Xenopus tropicalis: one gene and its partners. The protein of the gene in region 2 interacts with the protein of the main gene of each other region in a pairwise test. Links are inferred from orthologs where the notes say so. Each region holds a gene or a part of one and is shown on either strand. Other genes may lie near its edges.

The links.
Region 1: the proteins of arfip2 (region 2) and arf3 interact in a two-hybrid assay, tested with the Homo sapiens proteins (2 studies listed by BioGRID and IntAct). The link is inferred for Xenopus tropicalis from reciprocal best matches to the Homo sapiens genes ARFIP2 and ARF3.
Region 3: the proteins of arfip2 (region 2) and mal2 interact in binary tests that used the Homo sapiens proteins (3 or more experiments, as listed by UniProt). The two-hybrid records come from large-scale screens. The link is inferred for Xenopus tropicalis from reciprocal best matches to the Homo sapiens genes ARFIP2 and MAL2.
Region 4: the proteins of arfip2 (region 2) and cep63 interact in binary tests that used the Homo sapiens proteins (3 or more experiments, as listed by UniProt). The link is inferred for Xenopus tropicalis from reciprocal best matches to the Homo sapiens genes ARFIP2 and CEP63.

Annotation. Positions count from the first base shown.
Region 1 is NC_030678.2:136,298,697-136,306,779, forward strand, and holds part of arf3 (ADP-ribosylation factor 3), read left to right. Parts: intron 1-2,645; 5' UTR 2,646-2,707; coding exon 2,708-2,855; intron 2,856-3,192; coding exon 3,193-3,303; intron 3,304-4,314; coding exon 4,315-4,439; intron 4,440-4,668; coding exon 4,669-4,830; 3' UTR 4,831-8,083.
Region 2 is NC_030678.2:180,353,732-180,361,814, reverse strand, and holds part of arfip2 (arfaptin-2), read left to right. Parts: intron 1-4,067; coding exon 4,068-4,173; intron 4,174-8,083. UniProt on the Homo sapiens protein: Plays a role in constitutive metalloproteinase (MMP) secretion from the trans Golgi network. May have important functions during vesicle biogenesis at certain cargo subdomains, which could be predominantly utilized by secreted MMPs, such as MMP7 and MMP2.
Region 3 is NC_030682.2:137,860,829-137,868,375, forward strand, and holds part of mal2 (protein MAL2), read left to right. Parts: intron 1-3,155; coding exon 3,156-3,308; intron 3,309-6,478; coding exon 6,479-6,550; 3' UTR 6,551-7,547. UniProt on the Homo sapiens protein: Member of the machinery of polarized transport. Required for the indirect transcytotic route at the step of the egress of the transcytosing cargo from perinuclear endosomes in order for it to travel to the apical surface via a raft-dependent pathway.
Region 4 is NC_030681.2:130,319,339-130,327,913, reverse strand, and holds the start of cep63 (centrosomal protein of 63 kDa), read right to left. Parts: upstream 4,389-8,575; 5' UTR 4,106-4,388; intron 1,996-4,105; 5' UTR 1,963-1,995; coding exon 1,919-1,962; intron 1,637-1,918; coding exon 1,459-1,636; intron 293-1,458; coding exon 197-292; intron 1-196. UniProt on the Homo sapiens protein: Required for normal spindle assembly.

The DNA of each region.
Region 1 (8,083 bases), about 44 Mb from region 2:
ACATTATGTTAGAATGGTACATTTAAAGGCTGATTTAGTTCAGCATTTTTACTTTACCGTAATGCCCCTAATGCATCATCTTTATAACTACATGGGCACTAGAGAGATGGTTGACAGTGTTTGACAGCCTTTCATTTTATGCTATCAGTGTTGCAGTTTATAGAGAGCTCCAGCATAATTACTGCACATAATCTCAAGTTCATATATAGCTTCTCTCTCTTGCATCTACTGATTTATATACATTTTTCTCTATTAACTGCAACTCCAAAGTCAATGACTTATATCACGGCTGCCCAAGGTCTGTGCTGACGACTTTGTATGTCACCATCATTTTAATATAGTTTGATCCTCAGAGGTGGATTGTTGGATGATTGCCCCTCTGCAGCATAGAAAACTAACAGTATATGGGTCACTGTCAGCAATGAGGTTGTATGTTCTCCCTGGGTTTCTTCCCACATCTTAAACATAAAGGTTAATTGGTTCCTGATAAAATTGACTATAGTGGGTGTGTAAATGAGATATGGACCTTCTACTCATAGGCCTATATGGCTACTTTCCTCAGAATTAGATGCACGCACACTGAATGCACTGTATATTACTGTCTTTTGCCCATCATGCTGTTTGATAATTACAGTACAAATGCATGTTGCAGTTATTAGCGTGGGTTCCCTTTATGCTGTCAGCAGCCATAGGGAGAAAACAGGTCCTATCATCTTCCTGTTATCTGTCAGAATAGTGCAGATGGCGATACATGATAATGAACAGAAAAATAAATGACGCAAACTGCTAATGGCATACATTTGTCAGATTTCATCTTAGGCCTGTGGTTCAAAAGCAATTTTTCTGCCAGTGAGATTCATTTCAATGAGAGATGCCTGGCAGCAGTAGATATGTTCTCGTGAGCCTTTCAGGCTGAAAAAGTCCAGAACTGACTGTGCAGCATTTCTTGTTTTAGTAAATGGGCTGCAACAGGGGCAGTTTCAGCTGAAGTACACTGGCAAAGAGCACGCCCTGTGTGGCATTGGCCTTACAGTTTATTTTGTTTAATAGATGAGGCTTATAAAGGCATCACTGGATAAACCTTGCCTGTCTGCACACACTGAATAAATGCTTGTGTTACATTAGCTCAGGCTTATACCCCTTAATCTATTTACTTCAAAATGCTTGGTCCATGTACCAAGCACCAATAAAAGTAAAACTGACTTCACTTAACATAGACCTTTAATACCAGACCTAGTTGTTTGTGACTTAATTTGCATAAAATCCGCATCTCAGTTTCAGCTTGCCCCAGGTAGGCCAATTAATTATTTACAAAGATCGAGCTTGATCCTACTAGTTCCACAACAATAGTAGCAACTTGCATAGAAACAAGCTGTCCTTTTGGGATGTTGGTATATATCATATTTGGTAGTTTGAGCACTACAAACAACAGGTAAGTGTTACCATGCCCCCCACCCCCCCCATGTCAATAGATAATGTGCCCCCACACCACATAAATTGATAAATAATAAAAAGTAAAATTCCATCAATATACATGTGTACTTTCCAAAATAGGGGGTTTTCTTGGGTCCATTCGCTGTTTTTGCCGCTTTTACTACCCATAAAACAGTGCCATGAAAAATGTATGTTCATTTTGGGGTCTCAACATGGTAGAAACAGAAAGGGGGGTAAATGCCATGAATGTGTTGATTTTGCAGTAGCTTAAGTGCTCTCCATGACAATTGTTTTACACTATTTTATGGGGACTCTACCTGCCAAATACTGGCCATAAAAACGTTTAGTGGATCCTGGACAATTATATTTATAATTTTGCTTTCTACTAACTTGGGAGATAAGTTGGTGTAAAATAAAAGTTTTTTCAGATTTAACATCAGAGCTACTAAGTTTGTTTTAACTAATTCATAGGTCTACCAAATACAACGCAAACGCATCCATATTGTAACATAGGTCTGTTGCATTCAGTTGGCAGCTCTTAGGGCAATAAGAGACAGACCCCTATTGTAAAATATAAGGATATTATAAGTCAATGAGGAGTTCCATGACCACATAAAAAAGCACAATGCCAAAGGCCAGATTTATACAGGTTATGGTGACTTCTAATATCCTTATATTTTGCAACAGGGAGGTACTTTATTATTATTCAAAAACATTATTGTTAAAATGTTTGTTTGAGTGCCTTTTTGGGATATGTATGTAAGGGAAAATGATGAATACAGATATACAAGATATGAATTCAGATGTTGTTCTATATGCATTAGAACTGCTTTCGGCATCTGGTGATTTTGTTTGTGCCCAAGCCACCAGAATTAAGCTTGACTTTGGGCTCTGTTCACATGATTTATAACCATGTACTTTTGTTTTATTTTTACTCTTGTTTTATGTTTATTGAGTAACAACATAGTGCCATGTTAGCAGGGCAGAGCTTCCCTACCACAACCCACTTGAATTTAGCTCTGTGCTAAAGCAATTAATATAACCACATTTAAATGCAAAATACCAAACATTTAGTGCCATGGTTTGTTTCCTTGTTTATATATTAAACAATTGTTTGGGTTTACATTGAAAAATCTAAAGGTTGCAATGTTATAATATATCCTTACTTTTTTTCTCTATTTTATACTTCTTCTTTATACACCATCTGTCAGAGAGTTTGTAAGCCTGGCTTTTATTATTAGAAGTGGCCACAAAAGCATCTTAGGAAAATACCATGGGAAACATCTTTGGGAACCTTTTGAAGAGCCTGATTGGGAAGAAGGAAATGCGAATACTCATGGTGGGACTTGATGCTGCAGGAAAGACAACTATCTTGTACAAACTTAAGCTTGGAGAAATTGTGACTACTATACCCACCATAGGTAAATGCCTGAGGAAAAAGTGCACATAATTGGGTTCAGCAGTGTATTGTGTTTTTTATTGTTAGTGGGGAGTATTAACATCTTCATACAGTTATTGCTCATAGCTGTGGCAACATCTTTTGTTGAGTTAAATTGCCCGAAATAGGCCAACATGGGCCAAGGCACCAGGGCAAGACCCTGGCTTGTAGCCTCTGGACATTATAGCCACGTCTACCTTGTTAATTATTTCACAAGGAAATGTGACCTCCCTTTATACAGATATTGTTACTATTTTGTTATGGGTTTTCTTTGGAAAATTAATCTTAATGTTTGCTTCCTATTTCTTTCTTTATAACAGGCTTTAATGTGGAGACTGTGGAGTACAAGAATATCAGCTTCACAGTGTGGGATGTGGGCGGCCAAGACAAGATCCGCCCACTTTGGAGGCATTACTTCCAGAACACTCAGGGTGAGTGTGTATCCTTGCTTATGTGTTTTTTATGGGATTCCAGGTAGCACAGTCCCATGGGGCTCAGTTATTGTTGGGGTCCTGAAAAATAACACCTACAGTAGTCATTTTCAGTATGGAATGGGAGGTCCAAACTGTTGCAAATTGTATGGTCCCCACTGGATAAAAGTGAGTTTCTAATAGCTGCTTGGGTGTTACCTGTAGGCAGTATTCCTTGGCATAGGAAAATTTGTCCCATTGGCTTCACATTTTAAACAACTTTGTATTAGTTTCTGTTGTACTTTGCTTTGGGTGGTAAAGCAGTGTATAGTCAGAGATCCAGATCCTCTCTGGTTCAAAGCTGAATTCATGGAACTCAAACTTTATGATGTTTGGTGAAACCAAAGGGACTGAGTACAGCCAACAGTTATTACAGGTGGTTGATAAGATCAAATCATTTGATTAAAATAGTTTAGTAACAGTGTTCATATCCAGGCCATCATGCACTATGCCAGGACAGTTCTTTTATGTACTGAGCAAGCCTTGATAAATCCCCTCCACACACACAATTTGCCTTTCTAAGATGTAATTAATGATACACTTATGTAATGAAAATTGCACCAAGCAGGGGCTTTCAACAAAAATAAGAAAGGGACATTTGGCTGGGATCTCCTAATTCAGCTAAAAAGATCCAAATTTAAATTTCAGTCCTTTTTTGTATTTTATGTCTGAATTTATTGCTGTGGCTATGATTCAGTAATGTCTTCTGATTTTAATTGGCAAATTACAAGCTGTTCATATAAATATGTTGACTTATTGCTGGAAAATAAATTTAATTGAAAGCACTTTATTACAGTGACCTTCTCTTTTTTGTCTCTTTCCTCCCTATCCCTTTCCTCTTCTTTCATTTTTTTTTCTCAATTTTTTTTCTCAAGGAGCCGAGCCAGTTCATGTTGCTTATTTTACAGCTGTTTGCATATAAATTAAATAGAATCAGTCATCTGTCAATATAATGCCTCATTGTTTTTTCAGGGTTAATATTTGTGGTGGACAGCAATGATCGAGAACGAGTGAATGAGGCCCGTGAAGAACTGATGAGGATGCTGGCAGAGGATGAGTTGAGGGATGCAGTGTTGCTTGTTTTTGCTAACAAACAGGTTTGTGGTTCTTTGCTTAGCTAAATGGTATACTGTATGACATGCAAGCTTTATGGGCAAGTAGATTTATTCATGTTGGCACCATGACATTATTTATTTACATTTATATATTTGTCTGTGGTAGTAACATTGGCTGGGCTTATAGCACTTGCACGTTTCCTTTGCCAGTGCTATTGTTATTCTCTGCTTGCTATGTAACATAAACTTGACCGTCCATAATTACTTGCAGGATCTGCCAAATGCTATGAATGCTGCAGAGATAACAGACAAGCTGGGCCTGCATTCTCTCCGCCACCGCAACTGGTACATCCAAGCAACTTGCGCCACCAGTGGCGATGGCCTGTATGAAGGGCTGGACTGGCTAGCCAACCAACTGAAGAACAAGAAGTGAAGGTGCCAGTCCCATTTTGTCTCCAGCGTGCGCCTGACTCTTCCTCCCACATCCTTACTGTGCTTCCCCAGCCAAACCAGGTTGGGGTTGGCTCCTGGTACAGACCACACAATCCCTCCTGCTTCTCTTGGTTCCACATTTGCTTTCGTTGCCGTTTTGGTTTGGGGTGTTTTAATCGGGTGCCGTGTTTCTCCTGGTTCATCAAGCTGCTGTTACTTGCTGTTTTCTTTGTTCTTTGAAGATATTGGTTGGGAGTGGACAAGTGAGTCTTGGCAGTACATGCCTGAGTATTCTGCCCCCTGTAGACAGGGTTGGTTAGAGGGAAGGAATGGGAGCAGTGCTGTTTTGTGTTTATGTTGTGTGGAAGCTCCCTTTGCACATGATTGTGGGAATGTTTTTGGCTTCTTGTATTTGGTTTTAAATTATTTCCGTTTCAGTACTTCATCCAAGATGGTTTAAATAGTTAAACAAGGATCATATTATATTTTATTCTATTGGGAAAGGATACAATAAGCTTGGGTTCTAATATCATTTCAGAGGGTTGTGTTTTGGTGCAGCAGAGCAGTTTTAATAGATGACCAAACCTCTGGGAAGCAAAAAGAGAAATTGAAGGTGCAATAAAGAAGTTAGAAAGGCAATATATTCTTTTAGCTAGAGAAGTGTAGGCAGGCTTCCCACCGGGAGAGGCACTCCTTGCTTGTACGTTTCACAACACTTTATTGCTTTGTCAGTGAGAAGTTTCTTCTGTGAGGCAATGCTGTATTGTGCAACAGTGATGGAGGGAGGAACCCTCCCAGCAGCAAGGGTGCTTATACTTTGGTACTTTATAATATACAAAATATTTATTTTCCCTGTGGCACTTGTGTCTCTCCAGTAGTAAAGTATTAACTTGAAATAGTTCTTTAGCATTGACCTGGTTTTGTCATTCCAGTTTAAAGGAACAGTCCTCCTGCATGCATCAACTGTAGCAGTTACTTATTTCCTTGAGTAAATAAGATTTAAACTTGGTTAATTAGCTGTGTTATATTTACAATACAAGACACTGATAGGTTGGGAGGGCAAGGTAGAGAACCACAAATAGTTAAGTTGGCCGTACATGGGCAGATTTAAGGTTCTCCAGACTGATTTGGCAGCTTTTCTGCCCATGGAAGGGAACCCCCGGCAGGCCTACCTGACCAATATGTGGTAAAAATCGGGCAGATTTCTGTCGGACAGGTTTGATTTTTTTCCGTCGGATTGGGGACTGCATCGGCTCATTATTGTGGTCCTTGTTCTGACAGCTGCTATTCCTGTCATTGTAATTTGATCATTTGGCCCTATGGCCACTTAGGTGGGCATATCAAGGGAAAGTATAGTATGTAGTATAGTTTATAGCGTATGACCACCTTTAGTAGCCTGCAGACTGTCATCTGCTACTCCCCTTCCTTATCCTAGACACAAAGTGTTTAATTTGAGGAAAAGTGAGTTATTCTGCAGCAGAAAGAGTTGACACAATTTTACAACTGCCGTTATAACAATGCAAATATTAATATATTAGTGGTATTCTAGCCATAGCACATTGCTCTGTCTAACAAAATGTATAAAAACCAAGCATCAAAAATAAGCTAAATAAATGATAAAACACTGGATAACAAGTATATTTGGTATTAAACTGAAACTATTGTTACAGTTATCAAGCTAAAATGAGCTAAATGTACACTCACATTGCAGGCTCAGGTCACTAAATTAATCATTTGACATTAGCATGTCCAGCCTGTGACCTTTCTTTTGTTGTTGGGCTATAACTCAGTGTATAGTTAATGAGGGGTCCTGGGAGTTATTTGCAGGCCCTCGGGATGAGCTGCAGTTTTTGATCAGTTTGAGCATAGGACAGGCTTAGGAAGCATTAGCAATAAAACTAGTTTCTTGTCGATAGTCAAAAGTATTGTATTATTGCACTCCTGCCCTTTTCTCTCAAAGTCCCACACACTGTGGTACGTGCATGCTTTATACTCTCCCTTAAGGGTGGAAAGGCGCCCAAACATCAGCAGTAGGTTAATGCTGAAAAATGCAGGAAAGATCATTATTATAATGTGTACGGCCACCTTTAGTTTAGTTACATGTGATGCTAGTACATTCGCAATGTGCCTCCTGTTGTACTAGCTCTCTCTGTCTCAGCTACATGTGTATAAAGCTGAGGGACAGAAGTAGAGTTCAGCCAAGTGAGATCAGATATACTAAGGCTACTGGTACACTGGCAGGACATTTTGCCATGGGACAAAACAGCTGAAGTTTCCTTCCCAGCGAGACAACTTTGGGCTACTGTGCGGCAAGTGTTTTCCCACCAGACAAAATGTTCTGTGTGCTAGTACTCTAACTACATACTAATGTACAATGGCTTTTACCAGGGTTATTTAAAGGAGAAGGAAAGGCTAAATCACTAGGGGGTGCCAAATGTTAGGCACCTTCCAGTGATTGTAATCACTTACCTGAATCCTCCAGTTGGTGCTCCTGTTAGGAGAAAACTGCACCGGCCTGGGGTAAATGCAGACGAGTGATACTCTTTCTTCCTTCTCCTTTCGCAGTGATCCCGGGCCCTACACTGGTCCAGATTGAGATTATGTGATCGTTTGGCCCCTGTCAACAAACACATTGTAATAGTGGCCTAGGGAGGCCTTCTGGGAGAGGATTAGAGCAATATGCTGATGTGGTCCTTACTTGATTTTTAGCTCCATTTCTGTTGTAAGGAGCCCATACAAGGGACAATAAGCTGCTGATTTGGTCTGGAGGGGCCAAGTCAGCAGTCCATGCATGGCCACCTAACACTGTTTATGTGAGTATTGACTTATCAAAGGAACAGTAACACCAAAAAAGGGTTGCGTTTGCCTCAAACACTACTATAATTTCTATAAATTAACTGCTGCATAGCCATGGTGGCAGCCATTCAATCTGAATAGGCAAAAGGCTCATGTTTATACAGCATATGGATTAGCTTTACAGAATAAAATTGGTTTTAGTTCTTACACATGGGTCAAATTGCTGGATAATCAGATGCAAAATTTAAATTTTCACTTCTGAATCTTACGGGTCTTTAATACCTCAAGCAACTGGTAGTTAATCACTGGAGGAAGCCCTTGTAGCTTTTACTCACAGTATTTCTGTAAGTACTGGGGTGACTGGTACAAAATAATATGTTTACATTTGTTTTTCCTGTGTAATTGGGAGTTTTGCCTGACCTTATTTAGAAATAGAAATAACTACATAGACATTCCTA
Region 2 (8,083 bases):
CCTGTCCTACCCCCCTGTCCTACCCCCCTGTCCTACCCCCCTGTCCTACCCCCCTGGGGCAATCCCTGTCCTACCCCCCTGTCCTACCCCCCTGTCCTACCCCCCTGGGGCAATCCCTGTCCTACCCCCCTGTCCTACCCCCCTGTCCTACCCCCCTGGGGCAATCCCTGTCCTACCCCCCTGTCCCACCCCCCTGTCCCACCCCGGAGACTATGTAAGGCCCAGTGTATCCCCTGTCCCACCCCCTCTGTCCCACCCCCTCTGTCCCACCCCCTCTGTCCCACCCCCTGTCCTACCCCCCTCTGTCCCACCCCCCTGTCCTACCCCTGTCCCACCCCCCCTGTCCTACCCCCCCGTCCCACCCCCCTGTCCTACCCCCCCTGTCCCACCCCCCCTGTCCCACCCCCCCCTGTCCTACCCCCCCCTGTCCTACCCCCCCCTGTTCCACCCCCCTGTCCCACCCCCCTGTCCTACCCCTGTCCCACCCCCCCTGTCCCACCCCCCCTGTCCCACCCCCCCTGTCCCACCCCGGAGACTATGTAAGGCCCAGTGTATCCCCTGTCCCACCCCCTCTGTCCCACCCCCTCTGTCCCACCCCCCTGTCCTACCCCTGTCCCACCCCCCCTGTCCTACCCCCCCGTCCCACCCCCCCTGTCCTACCCCCCCTGTCCTACCCCCCCCTGTTCCACCCCCCTGTCCCACCCCCCTGTCCTACCCCTGTCCCACCCCCCCTGTCCCACCCCCCCTGTCCCACCCCCCCTGTCCCACCCCGGAGACTATGTAAGGCCCAGTGTATCCCCTGTCCCACCCCTCTGTCCCACCCCCTCTGTCCCACCCCCCTGTCCTAACCCCTGTCCCACCCCCCCTGTCCTACCCCCCCCGTCCCACCCCCCCCTGTCCTACCCCCCCCTGTCCTACCCCCCCTGTCCCACCCCCCCTGTTCCACCCCCCTGTCCCACCCCCCTGTCCCACCCCCCTGTCCTACCCCCCCTGTCCTACCCCCCCTGTCCTACCCCCCCCTGTCCTACCCCCCGTCCTACCCCCCGTCCTACCCCCCCGTCCTACCCCCCTGTCCTACCCCCCTGTCCTACCCCCCCTGTCCTACCCCCCCTGTCCTACCCCCCCTGTCCCACCTCCTGTCCTACCCCCCTGTCCTACCCCCTGTCCTACCCCCTGTCCCACCTCCTGTCCTACCCCCTGTCCTACCCCCCCTGTCCTACCCCCCCTGTCCTACCCCCCTGTCCTACCCCCCTGTCCTACCCCCCTGTCCTACCCCCCCGTCCTACCCCCCCGTCCTACCCCCCCGTCCTACCCCCCCGTCCTACCCCCCCTGTCCTACCCCCCCTGTCCTACCCCCCCGTCCTACCCCCCCTGTCCTACCCCCCCTGTCCTACCCCCCTGTCCTACCCCCCTGTCCTACCCCCCCCTGTCCTACCCCCCCTGTCCTACCCCCCCCGTCCTACCCCCCCCCGTCCTACCCCCCCCTGTCCTACCCCCCCTGTCCTACCCCCCCCTGTCCTACCCCCCTGTCCTACCCCCCTGTCCTACCCCCCTGTCCTACCCCCCTTGGGCAATCCCTGTCTGTTACTGTCATTGGTACCTACCCCCACCCCGACAATATCTGCCCGGGGTACCTACCCCCCTAACTATAACTGCCCAGGGTATCTACCCCCCTAACTATAACTGCCCGGGGTACCTACCCCCTAACTATAACTGCCCGGGGTACCTACCCCCTAACTATAACTGCCCAGGGTACCTACCCCCCTAACTATAACTGCCCAGGGTACCCACCCCCCTAACTATAACTGCCCAGGGTACCTACCCCCCTAACTATAACTGCCCAGGGTACCTACCCCCCTAACTATAACTGCCCAGGGTACCTACCCCCCTGCGTGTAATCACTGCCAGTACTAATGAATGGTCTGTGTAATGGCCTGTTACTGTCATTGGTACCTACCCCCCCCCCCCCACCCAAAAAAAAATATCTACCCAGGGTACCTGGGACAGACACAGGGAAAGGGACAGACACAGTGACAGTTACACATAACTATAAACCCAGTGAGAATGAGGAATGAATGGATATTGGGGAGTTGTATCAGGAGTCAGAACCAGCAGTGCAGGGAAGGGAAAGGGACAGACACAGTGACAGTTACACATAACTATAAACCCAGTGAGAATGAGGAATGAATGGATATTGGGGAGTTGTATCAGGAGTCAGAACCAGCAGTGCAGGGAAGGGAAAGGGACAGACACAGTGACAGTTACACATAACTATAAACCCAGTGAGAATGAGGGATGAATGGGTATTGGGGAGTTGTATCAGGAGTCAGAACCAGCAGTGCAGGGAAGGGAAAGGGACAGTGACAGTTACACATAACTATAAACCCAGTGAGAATGAGGGATGAATGGATATTGGGGAGTTGTATCAGGAGTCAGAACCAGCAGTGCAGGGAAGGGAAGGGACAGACACAGTGACAGTTACACATAACTATAAACCCAGTGAGAATGAGGAATGAATGGGTATTGGGGAGTTGTATCAGGAGTCAGAACCAGCAGTGCAGGGAAGGGAAAGGGACAGACACAGTGACAGTTACACATAACTATAAACCCAGTGAGAATGAGGGATGAATGGGTATTGGGGAGTTGTATCAGGAGTCAGAACCAGCAGTGCAGGGAAGGGAAAGGGACAGACACAGTGACAGTTACACATAACTATAAACCCAGTGAGAATGAGGGATGAATGGATATTGGGGAGTTGTATCAGGAGTCAGAACCAGCAGTGCAGGGAAGGGAAAGGGACAGACACAGTGACAGTTACACATAACTATAAACCCAGTGAGAATGAGGAATGAATGGGTATTGGGGAGTTGTATCAGGAGTCAGAACCAGCAGTGCAGGGAAGGGAAAGGGACAGACACAGTGACAGTTACACATAACTATAAACCCAGTGAGAATGAGGAATGAATGGATATTGGGGAGTTGTATCAGGAGTCAGAACCAGCAGTGCAGGGAAGGGAAAGGGACAGACACAGTGGACAGTTACACATAACTATAAACCCAGTGAGAATGAGGAATGAATGGATATTGGGGAGTTGTATCAGGAGTCAGAACCAGCAGTGCAGGGAAGGGAAAGGGACAGACACAGTGACAGTTACACATAACTATAAACCCAGTGAGAATGAGGGATGAATGGATATTGGGGAGTTGTATCAGGAGTCAGAACCAGCAGTGCAGGGAAGGGAAAGGGACAGACACAGTGACAGTTACACATAACTATAAACCCAGTGAGAATGAGGGATGAATGGGTATTGGGGAGTTGTATCAGGAGTCAGAACCAGCAGTGCAGGGAAGGGAAAGGGACAGTGACAGTTACACATAACTATAAACCCAGTGAGAATGAGGGATGAATGGGTATTGGGGAGTTGTATCAGGAGTCAGAACCAGCAGTGCAGGGAAGGGAAAGGGACAGACACAGTGACAGTTACACATAACTATAAACCCAGTGAGAATGAGGAATGAATGGATATTGGGGAGTTGTATCAGGAGTCAGAACCAGCAGTGCAGGGAAGGGAAAGGGACAGACACAGTGACAGTTACACATAACTATAAACCCAGTGAGAATGAGGGATGAATGGGTATTGGGGAGTTGTATCAGGAGTCAGAACCAGCAGTGCAGGGAAGGGAAAGGGACAGACACAGTGACAGTTACACATAACTATAAACCCAGTGAGAATGAGGAATGAATGGATATTGGGGAGTTGTATCAGGAGTCAGAACCAGCAGTGCAGTGAGAATGAGGAATGAATGAATACTGGGAGGTTGCACACAATGACACTCATGCAGGGGTGGGTGCCATTAATACCCCGGGTACCTATTCTGCCCCAGGTAACCTCCCCCTTCCACTTATTGACACCTCTATCACAGCTGTGAGATGTACCTGCCCTTTTTAACTGCCCCAGACACCTTCATCTGTGTTATTGGTGCCGCCTGTATTGTTACTGTGCTCCTGTGGGATTGGCCCCTGTTGGTACCAGTACCAGTGTGTAACAGACTGTGTGTCCCCCCAGGATAACGATGTCTGATGGGATCATGAGCAAAGCTGCCACCATGGAAATTGCCATCAGCAGGAATGGGGTGTCGGGGGCGCTGCACGAGGATGAGAGTCTGGAGCAGGTGGGTCACTATTACTCTGCGTGTAGGTATCATTGGGGGGGTCTTACTCTGCGTGTAGGTATCATTGGGGGGTCTTACTCTGCGTGTAGGTATCATTGGGGGGTCTTACTCTGCGTGTAGGTATCATTGGGGGGTCTTACTCTGCGTGTAGGTATCATTGGGGGGTCTTACTCTGCGTGTAGGTATCATTGGGGGGTCTTACTCTGCGTGTAGGTATCATTGGGGGGTCTTACTCTGCGTGTAGGTATCATTGGGGGGTCTTACTCTGCGTGTAGGTATCATTGGGGGGGTCTTACTCTGCGTGTAGGTATCATTGGGGGGTCTTACTCTGTGTGTAGGTATCATTGGGGGATCTTACTCTGCGTGTAGGTATCATTGGGGGGTCTTACTCTGCGTGTAGGTATCATTGGGTGGGTCATGAGTATATAGGTAGGTTTGGGTATATATGAGTATATAGGTAGGTATGGGCATATATTAGTATATACAGTAGGTAGGTATGGGTATATATGAGTATATAGGTAGGTGTGGGTATATATGAGTATATAGGTAGGTGTGGGTGTACATGAGTATATAGGTGGGTGTGGGTATATATGAGTATATAGGTTGGTGTGGGTATATATGAGTATATAGGTAGGTTTGGGTATATATGAGTATATAGGTAGGTATGGGTATATATGAGTATATAGGTAGGTGTGGGAATATATGAGTATATAGGTAGGTATGGGTATATATGAGTATATAGGTAGGTATGGGTATATATGAGTATATAGGTAGGTGTGGGTATATATGAGTATATAGGTAGGTATGGGTATATATGAGTATATAGGTAGGTTTGGGTATATATGAGTATATAGGTAGGTATGGGTATATATTAGTATATACAGTAGGTAGGTATGGGTATATATGAGTATATGGGTAGGTATGGGTGTATATGAGTATATAGGTAGGTATGGGTATATATGAGTATATAGGTAGGTATGGGTGTATATGAGTATATAGGTAGGTATGGGTGTATATGAGTATATAGGTAGGTATGGGTGTATATGAGTATATAGGTAGGTGTGGGTGTATATGAGTATATAGGTAGGTGTGGGTATATATGAGTATATAGGTAGGTGTGGGTATATATGAGTATATAGGTAGGTATGGGTATATATGAGTATATAGGTAGGTATGGGTATATATGAGTATATAGGTAGGTGTGGGTATATATGAGTATATAGGTAGGTGTGGGTATATATGAGTATATAGGTAGGTATGGGTATATATGAGTATATAGGTAGGTGTGGGAATATATGAGTATATAGGTAGGTATGGGTATATATGAGTATATAGGTAGGTTTGGGTATATATGAGTATATAGGTAGGTATGGGTATATATGAGTATATAGGTAGGTATGGGTATATATTAGTATATACAGTAGGTAGGTATGGGTATATATGAGTATATAGGTAGGTATGGGTGTATATGAGTATATAGGTAGGTATGGGTGTATATGAGTATATAGGTAGGTATGGGTATATATGAGTATATAGGTAGGTATGGGTGTATATGAGTATATAGGTAGGTGTGGGTGTATATGAGTATATAGGTAGGTGTGGGTGTATATGAGTATATAGGTAGGTTTGGGTATATATGAGTATATAGGTAGGTGTGGGTGTATATGAGTATATAGGTAGGTTTGGGTATATATGAGTATATAGGTAGGTATGGGTATATATGAGTATATAGGTAGGTATGGGTATATATGAGTATATAGGTAGGTATGGGTATATATTAGTATATACAGTAGGTAGGTATGGGTATATTTGAGTATATAGATAGGTATGGGTGTATATGAGTATATAGGTAGGTATGGGTGTATATGAGTATATAGGTAGGTGTGGGTATATATGAGTATATAGGTAGGTATGGGTATATATGAGTATATAGGTAGGTATGGGTATATATTAGTATATACAGTAGGTAGGTATGGGTATATTTGAGTATATAGATAGGTATGGGTGTATATGAGTATATAGGTAGGTATGGGTGTATATGAGTATATAGGTAGGTATGGGTATATATGAGTATATAGGTAGGTATGGGTATATATGAGTATATAGGTAGGTATGGGTATATATTAGTATATACAGTAGGTAGGTATGGGTATATTTGAGTATATAGATAGGTATGGGTGTATATGAGTATATAGGTAGGTATGGGTGTATATGAGTATATAGGTAGGTATGGGTGTATATGAGTATATAGGTAGGTATGGGTGTATATGAGTATATAGGTAGGTATGGGTGTATATGAGTATATACAGTGGCTTGCAAAAGTATTCGGCCCCCTTGAACTTTTCCACATTTTGTCACATTACAGCCACAAACATGAATCAATTTTATTGGAATTCCACGGGAAAGCCCAATACAAAGTGGGGTACACGGGAAAGCCCAATACAAAGTGGGGTACACGGGAAAGCCCAATACAAAGTGGGGTACACGGGAAAGCCCAATACAAAGTGGGGTACACGGGAGAGACCAATACAAAGTGGGGTACACGGGAGAGACCAATACAAAGTGGGGTACACGGGAAAGCCCAATACAAAGTGGGGTACACGGGAAAGCCCAATACAAAGTGGGGTACACGGGAGAGACCAATACAAAGTGGGGTACACGGGAAAGCCCAATACAAAGTGGGGTACACGGGAGAGACCAATACAAAGTGGGGTACACGTGAGAAGTGGAAGGAAAATCATACATGATTCCAAACATTTGTTACAAATAAATAAGCGCAAAGTGGGGTGTGCGTAATTATTCAGCCCCCTTGGGTCTGAGTGCAGTCAGTTGCCCATAGACATTGCCTGATGAGTGCTAATGACTAAATAGAGTGCCCCTGTGTGTAATCTAATGTCAGTACAAATACAGCTGCTCTGTGACGGCCTCAGAGGTTGCTAAGGGAATATTGGGAGCAACAACACCATGAAGCCCAAAGAACACACCAGACAGGTCAGGGATAAAGTTATTGAGAAATATAAAGCAGGCTTAGGCTACAAACAGATTCCCAAAGCCTTGAACCTCCCACGGAGCCCTGTTCCACCGATCATTCAGAAATGGCAGGAGTATGGCACAACTGTAACCCTACCCAGGCACGGCCCCCCCCCCTAAACTCACAGGCCCAACAAGCGCTGATCAGAAATGCAGCCAAGGGGCCCATGGTGACTCTGGGGGGGCTGCAGGGATCTACAGCTCAGGGGGGGGAATCTGTCCGACAACTATTAGTCGGGCACTGCACAAAGTTGGCCTTAATGGAAGAGTGGCAAGAAGAAAGCCATTGGTAACAGAAAACCATAAGAAGTCCCGTTTGCAGTTTGCCACAAGCCATGTGGGGGGGGGGGGGGGCAGCAAACATGTGGGAGAAGGGGCTCTGGTCAGATGAGACCAAAATGGAACTTTTTGGCCAAAATGCAAAACGCTATGTGTGGCGGAAAACTAACCCTGCACATCACTCTGAACTCACCATCCCCACTGTCACATATGGGGGGGCAGCATCATGCTCTGGGGGGGCTTCAGCAGGGACAGGGAAGCTGCTCAGAGTTGGTGGGAAGATGGATGGAGCCAAATACAGGGCAATCTTGGAAGAAAACCTCTTGGAGTCTGCAAAAGACTTGAGACTGGGGCGGAGGTTCCCCTTCCAGCAGGGCAACGACCCTAAACATAAAGCCAGGGCAACAATGGGTTAAACATATCCATGTGTTAGACTGGCCCAATCACAGCCCAGATCTAAATCCAATGGAGAATCTGTGGCAAGATCTGAAAACTGCTGTTCCCAAAGGCTGACCATCTAATCTGACTGAGCTGGAGCTGTTTTGCAAAGAAGAATGGGCAAGGATTTCAGTCTGTAGATGGGCAAAGCGGGTAGAGACAT
Region 3 (7,547 bases), on a different chromosome or scaffold from region 2:
AATTGCAAGCTCTCGAGATGATGACAGTTCCAGAACATCTTTAAAGGGCATCTATCACCCTAAATAGCTTGACAAGGGCAGCGTCAAATTTGCGGCACTTATAACAACCTTTCACTCTTAACCTTTGTACCCTTTTGATCCCTCTTGGAACACACTCACACAACAACCCTTTTGTGGGTAGAAAAGGCCGCAGCCCGTTTATTTGCAGCATTATAAAATTTGCCATTATTACACATAACCCCATTTAACAATAACATATTAATGTAATTAAATAACATATCTTAATCTCTTGATAACACAATAACAATAAGAAGGCTGCTTTGTGGAAGCTGTACCTGCCCCCACCGCCATCAGTTCCTTGAGTTTAAAAACCCCCTTTCTCTAACCCCCACAGCCCCATTTACCACCGACCTATGGCTGTAATCCCTATACTCAGGCCTAACCTTCTGTCTACCTCTCCTTTGTCTGTTGAATCCTCGGCTGCGACTATGGTCTTGTTCCTCACATCTCCCTTTCTACCCTCTTTTTTCTTCTCAAATAAGGGAGGGAGGGTGGGAGCTTGTTCTCTCAAAATGGCCACTTTCCCCTATGCTCCTCCCCACTTGTCTCCTTCTTTCTTCACTCCAGCCAATCCCCTTCAGGACTACAATACCCATACTTCCTATCACCAAACACTTTCCCTGGGCCTATTTCCTATCCTTGTCATGGCCCCGTACCCTCAACTCCTGCCTCATTCTATTCCGGGCCCCCCTTCCCTACCAGAGGTGTGGGCTAATAGAGCCTGCAGTACTGTCAGGGGGGGAAACAATAGTTTATTTATATAAAAAACAGCCCTTGTTGGCGCTAGGCCACCCCTACACTGAGAAGGAGCTCCCAGTGTGGGCAGCCATGTTATTTTGCGAGGCTCCTTGCTCATTCATTATGAGCGTGATGTAGGAGCAGTGGATACAACTCCCTCGCATATGTTACACACATGCGCATAATGAATGAGATGTGGCACTTGCTCGTTATGTGCATACGAGTGCCCTAACATGGCTGCCCGAACCTGGAGTTCCCTCTTGGTGCGGACAGCCTATACTGTAGGGGGCTATATTTTGTAAAAAAGACTATTATTGCCCCAACTGGAGTGTGGGCTCTATTAGCCTGCAGCTCTGGTAGGGGAAGCAATTTTAGGGTGATCAGCCTGAAGAAGAGATGTAACACTATAATCTCTAAAGCATGAAGTGCTATTACTGGAAAATACTATTGTGGTGTAAGAACAGGTTATTAACAAACTTGCAGGAAAGGTTTCCTTCGGCAGCTATGCCTATAGATTATTATTATTATTATTGGCTTTGTTCAGTAGGGAACACCCACAGCCCAGAGAATTCCATGTCTTCAGGAACTCTGGTGGTTCCTTGTACATGGATTATTCTTCTAAATGACCAGAATGATTAGACAGCCTAATATTTCCTAGTATTTCCATTAGGTTTATTAGCCTTTTAAAGAAAGAAACGTAGACAAGCACAGCTTTAGAAGCAAGACCAGAAGATATTGTTTTGGAAATAGGTTTGGGAGCGAAGGTTCCTACTGTAGTGTCCTCTCCAACCCATACCCTGCAGGCTGATAGAAAAATGGGAGAAACCCATTTCAATTAAAGGTTAACTATACCCCTTAACCATGTAGTTCTCGATAAACATATATTGCATTAAACAGCTCATATGCTTCATCTAGATTGACCATTACCATAAAAATATACTTTTTTAGTAATATGTGCCATTGGGTAATCCTAAATAGGAAATACCAAGGGCCGCCCCCTGGGATGTTATGATTTACAGTGCACACAAACAAGCCAAGGCACACATACATGCTAGGCCCCATCAGCCAATGAATGGACAGAGTTCTGCCTTTTGCTCCGACACTACTTCCTGTTACAGTTAGAGCTGCATCACTTCCTGTCAGCTGATCTCTGAGGGAGCACACAGCCCATCACAAAATGGTGGCTCAAGGGAAAGGATGTAAAAGGGTAATACTGATATATATATTCCAGTTTGGCGAGATTCTTTAATAGGTCACTTAATATAATATAAACTATCTGTTGGTTAGGTACTCATTCTGGGGGTATAGTTTTCCTTTAAATGTTCAATATTTTGTTAATGGATCCTGAAGGGCCCCTCTCTGAGTGCTGCCACTGCTCCGGTGTTGCAATCTCTTTCCTTCTACCCAGTGTAAACATTACATAATGACTTGCTTATCTGTGGCAGAAACAGTTATCGCGCTTCCCTGATCATATCTATTAATAAGACTGGGCCGGTTTGTAGAGAAATGCATCAGTTGGTGTTACAGTCATGTGCATTCTTAGTTTCCAGGGTGGAGAGATGAATTAAGTATGTTAAAGGTCTCCGTGAATGTGTCCCACACTTATTTTTACATAAACTACTGTACCACAACATTTTTTTTTTAATGCTGTATCACAGGGATCCCCAACCGGAGGACCTGGAAGAAACTTTGCCCTGTAGGGATTTTAGTGCTGCACTATACTGCACTAGAGGTTTATATACCACTGAACATATCAACCATACAGATCTTTGTGCTTCTAAAGGAACATGGGGAGGCAGTGACACGTGTAGAGGCCAATAAGACGACAGTCATACTGTTTGTGACTCATCCATTCAACCCATTGGCTGATTGGCTGATACCTGATCAGCCTGTACATGGCCACCGTAAGACGTGTGTTTGTGCCCTCAAATTTTGAGGCCAGCAAACACCTTGAATTATACTACATACAAGGAATATTGTGTAAATACACATAATTCACTACATTTTATGACCAACCCTCAACTTTTTGCACACAGGGTAGCGAGAGGCTTGGAGGCATGCAAATAATATTACACCAGGGGGTTACTCCAGTACAGCTGGATAGTAAGAGATAAAACTTCATTCAGTAGTTGCCAGGGAAATTAGTTTAGCAAATCCACAGTCAAGGGTTCAAGCCCAACCATGAGCAGTGCAGGTAAGTCAATGTAACCTGAACAGAACCTTTGTCCCTTGCTCAGTAAAAGTTTCTAGAACTCATGGGAGTAAATAATAGTCAGATGAAGTGCTGAAAACTCATTTTTTCTCAAGGTGAGAAGGAAGATGGACTCTAACAAAAGGCGCCTTGGTTTGTTTTCCAGGACCTCGCTTACCACTTGACCGCATTTGTATTCTATTTTGGAGCCTTCGTCCTTGAAGCTGCAGTGACCTCTCTAGCAAATCTGATGCGGAAGGAAAACTCGACTGTCATACACCTTGATAATCGCATGCTTGGGCTGAACGTGGCTGCCACGGTATGTACCTATAATCTGCGTAGTATTTCATGCATAATGGATCTCGCCTGGATAATGAATGGTAACCGAGGCCCCGCCTATCTCTATCAGTTCTGGTACAGGTATAGGACCCGTTATCCCGAATGCTTGGGACCCAGTTTTCCGGATAAGGGGTCTTTCCGTAATTTGGATCTCCATACCTTAAGTTTACAAAAAATCAATAAAACATTAATTAAACCCAATAGGACTGTTCTGCCCCCAATAAGGGGTAATTATATCTTAGTTGGGATCAAGTACAGGTACTGTTTTATTATTACAGAGAAAAGGGAATCATTTAACCATTAAATAAACCCAATAGGGCTGTTCTGCCCCAATAAGGGGTAATTATATCTTAGTTGGGATCAAATACAGGTACTGTTTTATTATTACAGAGAAAAGGGAATCATTTAACCATTAAATAAACCCAATAGGGCTGTTTTGCCCCCAATAAGGGGTAATTATATCTTAGTTGGGATCAAGTACAGGTACTGTTTTATTATTACAGAGAAAAGGGAATCATTTAACCATTAAATAAACCCAATAGGGCTGTTCTGCCCCCAATAAGGGGTAATTATATCTTAGTTGGGATCAAGTACAGGTACTGTTTTATTATTACAGAGAAAAGGGAAATCAGTTTTAAAATTCTGAATTATTTGATTAAAATGGAGTCTATGGGAGACAGGCTTTCCGTAATTCGGAGCTTTCTGGATAACGGGATTCCGGATATTCTCTTTCCTGCTATGTTTATTTCTCATGTATTCTGCCTAAAACTTACATTATGATGAAAAAGCTGCTTCCTCGCACACCTGTGTTGTCTAACTGGCCCTTTAAAGGAAATTATATATACATATTACATACTCTTCCTTAAACATTATGACATGGCTGCATCCCTACACACCCCTGTTGCCTAATTGGCACTTTAATAGAAACTATATATGCATATTACTTACATCTTCCTTAAACATATATTATGACATAGCTGCATCCCTTCACACCCCATCTTGGCCAACTGGTCCTGTAAATGAAACCATATATAGTGAACAATGTACCCCCTGTTGTGAAATATAAGACTATTATAAGTCACATTATGAGTCCCTTGACCATATAAAGGCAAAAAAATGGAACAGGCTGAACTAAGGGTAGGCAGAAGACATGCCTAGTGCAGAATGGTGGGGGGCTCATACCTCTTCTGCCTGCATTCTACTAGTTTTGGACCTTCTGTAATGGTGGCAGCAGGCTATCAGTTCTCCTCAATTCTAAAGGGGAGCAGTGTGATTGTCACGCTCCACGGGTGGTGGGGCATTGTCTTGGGCGCTCGTTTGACTTGTGGCCCAGCGCTGATGGATGACGTCACTAAGCACTGTTTATAACTTCTAGAACATTCATGGCTTCATATTACTGTTTCTTCCTTAGATTAAATTATGATGATATAGCTATAAGGTCCTCTAGTTGTAGGTCTTAAAACAATTATACCTCTCCCCTGCCAGATCCCATTTTCTGTTCAGATGAATATCAAGAGGGGACTTCTCAGGAAACCCTCATGTAGGCATCCCAGCATGATCCCCCACTGATATCACCAGTATCACCTTCTACTGTATTTGATATTTTTCACCACTGTGGTGAACCATGACGGTCAAATCATCTGGTCATAGAGCAACAGGTTACTCTCAATACAGTGAAGTTAGCTGCCAGACTTACATAAACAATCTACTATGCAATGGTATCATTTCTTAATATATCCTTATGTTTTATACTTTTTCCCTCTGGTTATTATCTAATAAAGTTACTCTGCAAATAGGTGCAAAGTCTTTCTCTGTTCAGTTATGCTGCAATGGAATGCGGGTGAAGTGTGCTTTAGATAAGCTGATACCATGTCATGTTCTTACTATGCGAATGCCAAGTATTGAAACAATCCTTTTATTGCTGTAATTAAATAACTCTGTCAAATGCACATTATATTGCTCTATAAACGTAAGGCAGTTCTAGTTATTCTTTAAAGCCAAGGGCAACTGAAGGGTCAGAATTTGAGCAAGACCAACATAAACCATCCCAGTTATCATCTTGCTCTGCGGCACCTTCTATTTCAGCCTACAGCTGCTCTTCTGCAGGTTCCCACCTTTATTGAGGAGATTGTGTGAGAAAGCCAAGGGCTCAGACTGAGCAGTAATTGTGTGTCTCCCAGTGGGAATCTGGGACAGAAACTGTATCCAGGAGAAAAAGGTGCAGTTATCGTTATCCAGGAAACCCGAGTTCCTTGACGTTTGTGTACAATGGTTGCTGGGGCAGCACCAAGCTGTGTTGCTTCTCTTTTGTTCCCTTCTGCACTGACAGATAATGGTTAAATATATTAGCAGTTTCAAAACTAAAAATAAGTTACCCTTATATTTATTTTTGTACATTTCCAAGACTATTTTATATGCAACAATAAACCAATAAACCATCTTATGCCTCTGATGATCATTCTAGAAGACACAAGGGCAAGTAAGTAAGGAGATAATTTGAGAGTGTGAAGAGGGTTTCTTTTACAGTGGATATACTGGCAGAGACATTAGATAGCTTTAAGAAAGCATTAGATGTCTTATAGCAAGTGAAAAGCTACCAATATTAATACATCCAGGTCCTGGCTTCCTTCTGAAGCACAGACAGCATTAATAGACATTATCCGGTATTTGTCTCTTTGTGCAATCATAGGCATTGAGCTGGACAGAAAATGGGATCAGATGACCCCATATATATCAGATTTATGAGAAATCTGGACCTTTATAGAGCTGTCTACTGTGTAGTACAAGCCTGTACTTATAATGTGTATAACCTGTATTATGGGGGGTGGGGTTTGATCACATCATTTGTGAACCTAATGCAAGAGGGGGGTTGAGGTTGTTGCATGAGTTTCCTCATCTCTAGTTCAATAAGAGCATCCATGACTTGTGCTCTATCCCATTTCTTCTTCTCTCCTACCCCCTAACTTAATTACTTAAGTTATTCTCCCCCACCCCTGCATTCATCCTATCTTCTAAAATGTAATTGTCTCCAAAAAGTGAATATTATTTTTCAGTATGTCTTTCCTTTGCTCTTGGCATTATTTTATTCTCCTAAACTCCCATGTCTATGAGGGCAAACACACTTATTGTGATTTTTTTTCCCCCCCACAGATATTTGCTTTTACGGTTACCGTTTGTTATGGCTGCAGCATGGTCCTAGGTTTTCGGCGATGGAGGTCTTAAGCCGCTAGAAGACCAGGCAGACACCTTATCTGAAACTGGTGCAAGTTAATGGATGTTAAGAGAAAGAACTGTAATCTAGAACGTTTCAACGAAGAGATCAGTCAAGGAAGACTTACTGGAAGAATGAGATCCAGATATCAGCAGAAGGAGAAACAAAGAGAAAGCCTCCTTCTAACATTCAATGTGCATGGATTTGCGGCTGTAAGATCCTGCTGCAATATTCAAGTAAAAAAACAGACCAACAAGAAGCCTGGTTTAAGCATTTATATCTGGTTAAGCAGCAATGACAATATTATACAAGGCCTTCAGCACAGTCTAGAGGTCTTAAATTATTTAAAATCATCATAATATCAATTTTGGGACCTACAACCAAACAGCCATGAAGAAGATATTGCAATAATTCTAAGGTTTGCAATGTTTGCCAAAGAAATACTATTATGCGCCATCACCGCCCTGCTATTTGTTATACTGAAGCTACAGCCAATAATAAGAAGACTAAAGTACACAGAAGAATGTGTTCCAATATTGCCGGCTAAAAATTTGTCTTAGGGGCATTCTGGATATTTTGTTGCCCGGGCAATTTCTGAGCTGGAGAGCAGGCAACAACAATCTCAGAATCACTCCCCATTCACTAAGATGGCAATCAGTTGGACTCAAAGGAACCTCAAGTCACAGATTTTGCCAAACTGAAGAACAGGAGGGTGAGGGGTGTAGATGGTTGGTCAGAGGTTTTCACAAAAAAAGGCTTGGATTGGAAGAATTCAGATGGGTTCATAGCTATCCAGCATTAAATTTAGTGCTATATTTCATGGGAACAATAGGTCAGGTTAAGCATCTGATGAAGTGATGAATAACTACTAGCTCAAATGGCTACTCATAATCCATAGTCATCAGTGTTTTCTTAGATTTGCCCCAGCTCAATACTTGGAATAGCTGAAACTTGCACTTGTATGATGTCTTTGGTTGCAACAAACCCCCTGTATTATTTCAATGCCCA
Region 4 (8,575 bases), on a different chromosome or scaffold from region 2:
TAGGGAGACTTAAGGGCACTACTGAGAAGGTATGCCTGCAGCTTGAGATTAACTCTTTACTAGCCTTTCCTTCTCCTTTAATGAGGGCACAGATTGTATGGAGATAAAAGGCAGATAGGCCAGCTGTGTTATGAAAGCAAATCCAATGACACGCAAGGACATGTTGGATAAGGCAGGGCTAAAGAGTATTGCTCACCTCCTCCTTAAAGCCTGACAGTTGAGCCTCATACTGTACAGTCTTATTCTGAGTCTCTTCTTCCTGCTGTATGAGCTGCTGTCTCAGTCTTCTAACCTGTAGGAATCAGATTAGTTTATCCCCAAAAATACACATAATTCAAAGATAAATAATGTACATCCCAAACTAACACAGTTGTGTACTAAATGCTCATGGAACATATGTATCTGTGAGTGTCATAGACAGGAGGGAGGAATAACCGAGGTCTGAGAGAGGGGTATCCTGTGGAGTGGTCAAACTCAAAAGGGGGAATTCACAAAAGTGGCAATATTGAGACAAAATAAAAATGCAGATAGACTTGTCGGATTTTCCACCTTATTCACAAATCTCTATCTCCACTTTTGTAAAAATTTTTTAGATTTTGTCTTTTAGATGTAATTTTACTGACAATTTGTCTTTTGCCCTTTTAAAATCTGTTGGTGTGCCATCAAACCCAGACCCACATCTACACAAGCCTTGGAATAACAATTTTACCTGCAGAATTGTAGCATTTTATTTGCCAGTCATTTCACTTTAGGGGCATTTCCTGAAGGGGAATTATAGTTTGCCCATGAAAACTATCAGTTTCTTAAGGACAACCTGGACTTTATAATTTTTTGTGTAATTCCACTTCTGTAACAAAATTTAGGGGTCTAAATACCAAAGTTTTATTTTATATGTGGAAATACAACTGATTTAGAAATCGCCATGTTTCATGAATATGCCAGTGCCAAATATGTATAGTTTTATGGAGTGTCAGTGAAGTGCTGCTAAAATTAAAAATTACCTGGGAGGCGTTACTGTTCCTTCCATTATATATAAAGATTTAATAATGCAAATATGAGGTAAAAACTTGTTTATGAAAATGTTAATGATGGTTTTTGCAGCTATTGTTCTAGGGTTTCTGTTTGTCCCCTGACAATAGGCCGCTAATCCCTATCAATCTGCTAATGATCCACCAATGGTGCTCCTACAAGAGGTGTGACTTGAAGAATGGGTGAAACAAAGCAAAACAGAAGATCTTAGAATTGACCTGAGAGAGTTACACTGAGCTGTACGCCATTTTGGAAATGTCTGGGGGCCTCTTAGAGATTAATATGCAGAAGAGGAAATATCTATATTTCAAACAGGAAAACAAAGTGACCAATTCTTATAAATAAGGCATAATATACAATAAGTGCACTAGACTGCACTAATCCTAAGCCACAATGCTGGTTCTGTCTGTAACTTCTCAACTGGTCTACCTCCTGGTTTAAGTGATCTTCTCTGTCCAGTGAAGATTTCAGCTCCTGCTCTTTCAGCTCTAGACGGGTCTTGAGTGTTTCAGTCTCTGCTTCCCACTGCGACCTCTTGTGATCCAGCATAATGTCTATCTGCCTCATGAGTTCCTGCAGCTCAGCCTCACAGGAGCCTTGCAAAGACCTAATGAAGATGAACACAGAGTTATAAAAAAAGCAGCAGATGTAAATAAATATGTTTATATATTGGTTTTCAGACTCACCCCTTACAGTCATACATTTAATTGACCAGTCCTCCTTAATTTTAAAGCAAGGTATAGATAAATACAAATGTTATTATATCAGTAATAATAACAGTATTAGAATTATTACTGACTTCTAATAAATGTTCACCTCAAATCTAAAACATGCTGGGCGATTAACAGAATTGATCCCACTGTCCAAACCTGTAACTTAGGTTACTCACCCCATTCTCTCTTGTTGCTGAATCCCTTGTAACAAAGCTTCCATTCCGTTTATTTAACAGCCTGCAAATGGCTATTACTAGAAAACACAGAGAGGGCACAGAAAATATTTTAGCAAGAAAAATAGTACCACTGGTGCTACATATACTGTTAGGGCATAGACACATGGGGGAATAGTCGCCATGGCTATTAAAAAAGTAAGCTGTGGCAATTAATCGCGCAATGGGCAGCGTATAAGTAGCTGCGACTAATCACAGGCAGATTATTTGCTGTGACTTTTTTCAAAAGTTGTGGCAACTAATTGCAACATCTTCCCCCTTAAGAACTATAGAAGCACAGCCTTGAGATATACAGTCTTTGCGAGTGCGCAAACACTAGACCATCCAAGAATCATGTAACACATCTCATTTTATTGGAACTTGATTAAAACCTGCTTGACGCATCTCGTGTCTTGCCCTTAGTGATAAGCATAAAACCATTCCATCTGTATATCTGGGTGTGTGATCATTCGGCACTTTTCCCTTAAGATATACAATTGGAATGGTTTTATGGTTATGACTAAGTACAGGACACAAAACGCATCAAGCTTGTTTTAATCAAGTTCCAATAAAATGAGAAGTTTTACCCGATTCTTGGATGGTCGGTGGTCGAGTGTTTGCACACTCACAAATATTGGATGCCAGAACATAGTGCTTTTATACCGCCATTGTGCTGAAAATTTTCAGCACTATTGTAGTATAAAAGCACAATTATTATTTATGATGCATGGAGTGCTGGTCCTTTATCTTCTATAAAGCTTTGATTGTGCACCTTCAGTTGGCAAGAGTATTGTGTGCAGACTTTATCTGAGAAAATATATAATATATATATATCAATCCAAATAGCACTCCAAATAGCACTCCAAGGCTCAATATTCTGCGGGGTGCACAGCCAAAATTTAACTACACAGAAAATAATAATCATCCGTGGCCGGCACACCCTTCAATACTTTATCAAAAATTTATTGAAAACATATTGTTTAAAACAGACGTTTCAGTCCTCATTAGGACCTTTCTCAAGGATCCTTGAGAAAGGTCCTAATGAGGACCGAAACGTCGGTTTTAAACAATATGTTTTCAATAAATTTTTGATAAAGTATTGAAGGGTGTGCCGGTCACGGATGATTATTATTTTATATATATATATATATATATATATATATATATATATATATATACGGATTGGAGATTTCAAAGCGACAGGCTGCTTTCATTATCTCTTAAAGTCGAGAGTCTTATTTCGATTGAGTTAGGCCTAATACATCTTTTAGGCAAAAGGAACACCCCCCAAAGGATGTTTTAGAATTCACTCTCTCACAATCACCAGAAATCCTGTCCCTTTATGTGCAGGCTATGTGCCAAAATCAGTTTTGTTACATTTTGTTTGTGCTAGAATCAATTATTTAAGTGAGCTGTGACACATTTGCTAGGAATGGGAGCCCGCACCCCAAAGACATAGTAGATTTATCAATCAAAATCAGACTCCTGACACCTGCATGAGGACAGAATGAAGAGACGAGGGGGGGAGTGAAGAGTCACTTGATTATTTCAGAAAAGCTCCAAAATCTTTAATTGAATATATTTAAGAAATGTCCTATTTGGCATGATGTAGCTTGTACATATGTTGTGCACGATGGCTTGTTTGCACAAGATACAGGATTGGGCACCATATCACACAAATTTCACACCATAACTTTACATTCTGTCGACTTTAAAAGGAATGTGATAATGCATTTTTTGTAAAAATATTCTGTCCACAAGTTACAGTCTGTGCTGGGGGGATCAGCGCTGTGAGTGATACATGGGCGCTCAGGGAATGATCCTGTACTTGCCATCTCCCTAAGCCCCAACTCGCCCAGCCCCATTCCCAGACTGGTGTCCTTTCCTTTCCATTCCTTTGTGTTTGCAGGACATGTAGCCCCAAAACCCTGAAACTCCTTCAGAAAAGATGTTTAAAGGGGAACTATTGCGATAATGAAAGTTTAATATCCCACTGCTCATTTAACAACTTTGGAATCATTTCTCCCCAGTGCTGGAAGCCAATGGAACATAAACAAACGTCCAGTTTCCATTATTTTGACGGCACTAGGCTGACAAAATCAACTATATATGAATTCACCGACGCCCATTGATAGCAAAAAGAAGCCGCACTTGAAAATAGAGGCATCAAATAAGTCTTTTCCTCGTCCCATAGTCAGTCAGTAGAGGGACCGGGTATGGCGGTGAGACCGGCACAGTAACAGGAAGAGCAGACGACCTTACCTCCCCAGCAAGGCAGCCTAGACGAGAAAAAGCGGGGAGGTTAAGGGCTAACTCCCAAATGACACTGTAGGGAACATACAGTCATGTGATCCCCATTGCGCGCTAAAGTCCCCGATCCTAAGGGTGAGCGCTTCCGGGTACACAGATCGCTGCAGTTACTGATTGGTTGGAAGCAGAGGGCGGGCTGTTTCAAACAAACCTACGGTAGCCGTACTGGGACATTCGTAACCAGAGGCATTGTCCTGGAAGTTACAGCGTGAACAGTCTCCTAATCTGCCTCTGCTTAGTGGACGAGCGTTGTGTTTGGGGCAGCAGTTTCCAGACTTTAGAGAGCCCCGCCAAAGGTTGAATTTGGGGGAGAACATGTAGTTGTAAATATAGATATCATGGGAACTTGGGCCGGTACCCTATATAAGTTACCCTGAAACGTGACCAGAGAAAGTCCCTGCTGTGCCCAGTGCACTCGAGGGTTTATTTTCTCACGATTTTTATAGATTTTTCAAGCGTCTGTATAAGGATGTTTTAACCAAGAGTGTAGGTGGGCCAGTGATATCCATGCTAGGTGCAGCCCCACTGCATTCTATTCACTTGTATAGGGATTCTTAGGGACATATACTGTATATATATCAGTGGAAGTGAGGGGTCACTCTGATAAATTCCAAAACTATCCCATACACTTGTGTAAGAGCTGCGTAGTTTCACTGTGGCACAATGTGAGCCCTAGTTCTTTATGAAATATTCCTCTCAGTGCAAAGTTATTCCAGACAGGACTTACTGAGCCTAAATCAGCAGAATATCCCAGTGCATCAGCCTGTTTTTCTTACCCACAATGCCAAGTCCTTCCTACAATTCCAGCCTAATAGCAGGTGCCACAACCTGGCTGAGGTAACAATGCGGACACCCAGGGCCACCATCAGAAATCACGGGGCCCCTCACAACAAAAATTTCTGGGCCCCCCTCCCACCAGTACAAAGGACTCACAGACATGGTACATTGGTAGCCAGCAGTGCCCCCCCCTAGTACATTGGTAGCCAGCAGTGCCCCTCTAGTACATTGGTAGCCAGCTGTGCCCCCCCAGTACATTGGTAGCCAGCTGTGCCCCCCCAGTACATTGGTAGCCAGCTGTGCCCCCCCAGTACATTGGTAGCCAGCAGTGCCCCCCCAGTACATTGGTAGCCAGCAGTGCCCCTCTAGTACATTGGTAGTCAGCTGTGCCCCCCCAGTACATTGGTAGCCAGCTGTGCCCCCCCAGTACATTGGTAGCCAACAGTGCCCCCTCAGTACATTGATAGCCAGCAGTGCCCCCCCTAGTACATTGGTTGCCAGCAGGGCCCCCCTAATGCATTGGTAGCCAGCAGTGCCCCCCAGTACATTGGTAGCCTGCAGTGCCCCCCCCAGTACATTGGTAGCCAGCAGTGCCCCCCCAGTACATTGGTAGCCAGCAGTGCCCCCCCTAGTACATTGGTTGCCAGCAGGGCCCCCCTAATGCATTGGTAGCCAGCAGTGCCCCCCAGTACATTGGTAGCCAGCTGTGCCCCCCCAGTACATTGGTAGCCAGCAGTGCCCCCCCAGTACATTGGTAGCCAGCAGTGCCCCCCCTAATACATTGGTAGCCAGCAGTGCCCCCCTAGTACATTGGTAGCCAGCAGTGCCCTCCCTAGTACATTGGTAGCCAGCAGTGCCCCCCCTAGTACATTGGTAGCCAGCAGTGCCCACCCTAGTACACTGGTAGCCAGCAGTGCCCCCCCTAGTACATTGGTAGCCAGCAGGGCCCCCCTAATGCATTGGTAGCCAGCAGTGCCCCCCCTAGTACATTGGTGGCCAGCTGTGCCCCCCCAGTACATTGGTAGCCAGCACAGCACAGCCCTCTGCGTCTAGTTCGTCTCCTCCAGCGTCTTCAGCGGCGGCGGCATCTTCAGCAGCGGCTTCGGACTCCCCCGGCGAGGTCCTTCCTGGACGACACCTCTGCATTTCTGAGTGCCGAAAGAAGACAGGCCCTTTTATAAGGTTGGGCCCTGTGCGTACTGACGTGCATGTACGCACGGGGCGCGACCAATAGGATCACCCGCTGACCACCAATGACAGGGCCCGGAACTGATTAAAGGGGGCCCGAGCTACCCTACCCTTACCCTGCCCAGACTCAAGGGGAGTTGGGATAAAATGGTGTGCATCCTCTCTGTGCTGTCCTCAGTATTACTATCATATAACAACTGTATGTGAGTATATTGCTATAACCCTGCATATTGTTTGTCTCTGACAATAAACCAGTTCTATTGTTTAACTGCAAGAACCTTCTGGTGCCCATTCTTGTTACGTTGCACTGCCCACAGCTACAGTGAGTTGTAGTTGCACTACACCTTAGCTCTGTTGGTCACTTCCACATAGTGAAGGCCCATCCTGAAGGATTGAGTTGCATGTGCCCCATGCTCTCAACCCTATACTAGCCAAATAGGGCTTACAGGTACAACATGCTAAGGATACAATAATGTAACACCTGTAGGAGTCTTCATTCCAGGGTATCCGTGAGTCAGTGTGCCTTGCTCGCCATTTATCAGGGCAGGCAGAACTGGAGCCTGTGTAGATGAAAGAACCTTTCTCCATGGTTATAAAGAATTAAGGCGGCCATACACAGGCAGATCTCAGCTGCTGAATCGGGTCCTTCAGAACGATCCGGCAGCTTACTGCCCATGTAAGTGCACCTCCAACAGGCCTACCCAACCGATATCTGGCCTAAAATTTCCATCAGTTCATTTATGCGGCCCTCTGTCCGACTGCTCCTATGCCCACAAAAAAGCAAATCTTAGCGTGTCTTACCTTAAGCAAGGATGTGCACAATTTAATGCTTCTCATTTGTGCAGACTATTGCCTTGTCTGTCCTGATATTTCTCCACCATCCTAATGCAGCTGAACTACAGATCCCTGCATCCACTAACAACTTGCTCGATACTGTGCACAAATAATTTCTTTGCATTACTATTTCTTTGCAGTTTAACCATCTAGTTAACTCATTAGGAACTCATTTTTTGCACAAAATATTATTGTTTCCCCCATTTGGAGTGTGGGTGATATTAGCCCATGACTTTGGTGGGAGAAATCATTTTTTCTGATAGGTGCCTTTTAAATCAGGGAGTTGACATGTCTGCCGAGGAGAAACGCTAAAAGACTATGACTTAAAGTTCTCATGGCATATTAACAGGCCAAATCTTTGGCTGCTTATTTAGTTGTGAGACTAAAGTGCTTAAAGCGTTAAAGGAATACTGTCATGGGAAAACATGTTTTTTTTCAAAACACATCAGTTAATAGAGCTTCTCCAGCAGAATCCTGCATTGTTACCCATTTTTCAAAAATACCTTTTTTTATATGTTATTTTGAAATTTCACATGGGGCTAGCCATATACTTCATTTCCCAGGGTGCCACAGCCATGTGACCTGTGCTCTGATAAACTTCACTGACACTTTACTGCTGAGCTGCAAATTGGAGTGCTATCACCCCCCTCCCAGCAGCCGATCAGCAGAACAATGGGAAGGGAGCAAGATAGCAGCTCCCAGTAGGTATCAGAATAGCACTCAATAGTAAGAAATCCAAGTCCGGCTTGGGACTCCTCCAGTTACACGGGAGTAGGCGAAACAATAAGTTACCTGAAAGCAGTTCTAATGTGTAGCGCTGGCTCCTTCTGAAAGCTCAGACTCAATGCACTGAGATGGCGCCTACACACCAATATTACAACTAACATGTAATACATTTATTGGTGCACACATGCAGTGTAGTAAAATTTTGGCGAAGGTGGTGGTGCTGGTAAGAATATACCCCAAGCAAGTGCATTTTAAGGAAAAGGAGAGGTGGACAAGGGTCTAAGGTTAGAAATTTAATTCACTTGGACCCCCAGTGAATGACTCTTTCCTTGTCCTTTAACCGTGGTTCCACTATCCAAAAATAAAGATGAACTTGTGTTTTATCTTAGAAAGGCTACCTTAAAACATATTCAGGGACTGTTCTCTTACAGCACAAGTCATGCCCTGCAGTGCAATGTACCGTATGTCAGGGGTGCCCAGAATATGAGGTCAGCATCTCTGATAAAAACAAGAGAAAGAACCATGGTCCCTGTAACATAAGTGCAGAATCGATGTGAAGTTTACAAGCACAGTAAGCTTTTTTTGGACTATTTAATCTCAATGTTTTCCTTGTCCTATAAATATATGTGAAGAGAAGTAGACTAGGTTTGTTTCTTTTGTACCCAAGTTGGCTGTGTATTGATGTTCTGACCACTAGGTGGCAATGTGTGATAGCATTCTACATGTTATTTTATGGGCTATATTAGTAGCTTGAGAAAAGGCCTAGGGACATTGCAATAAAGGTAA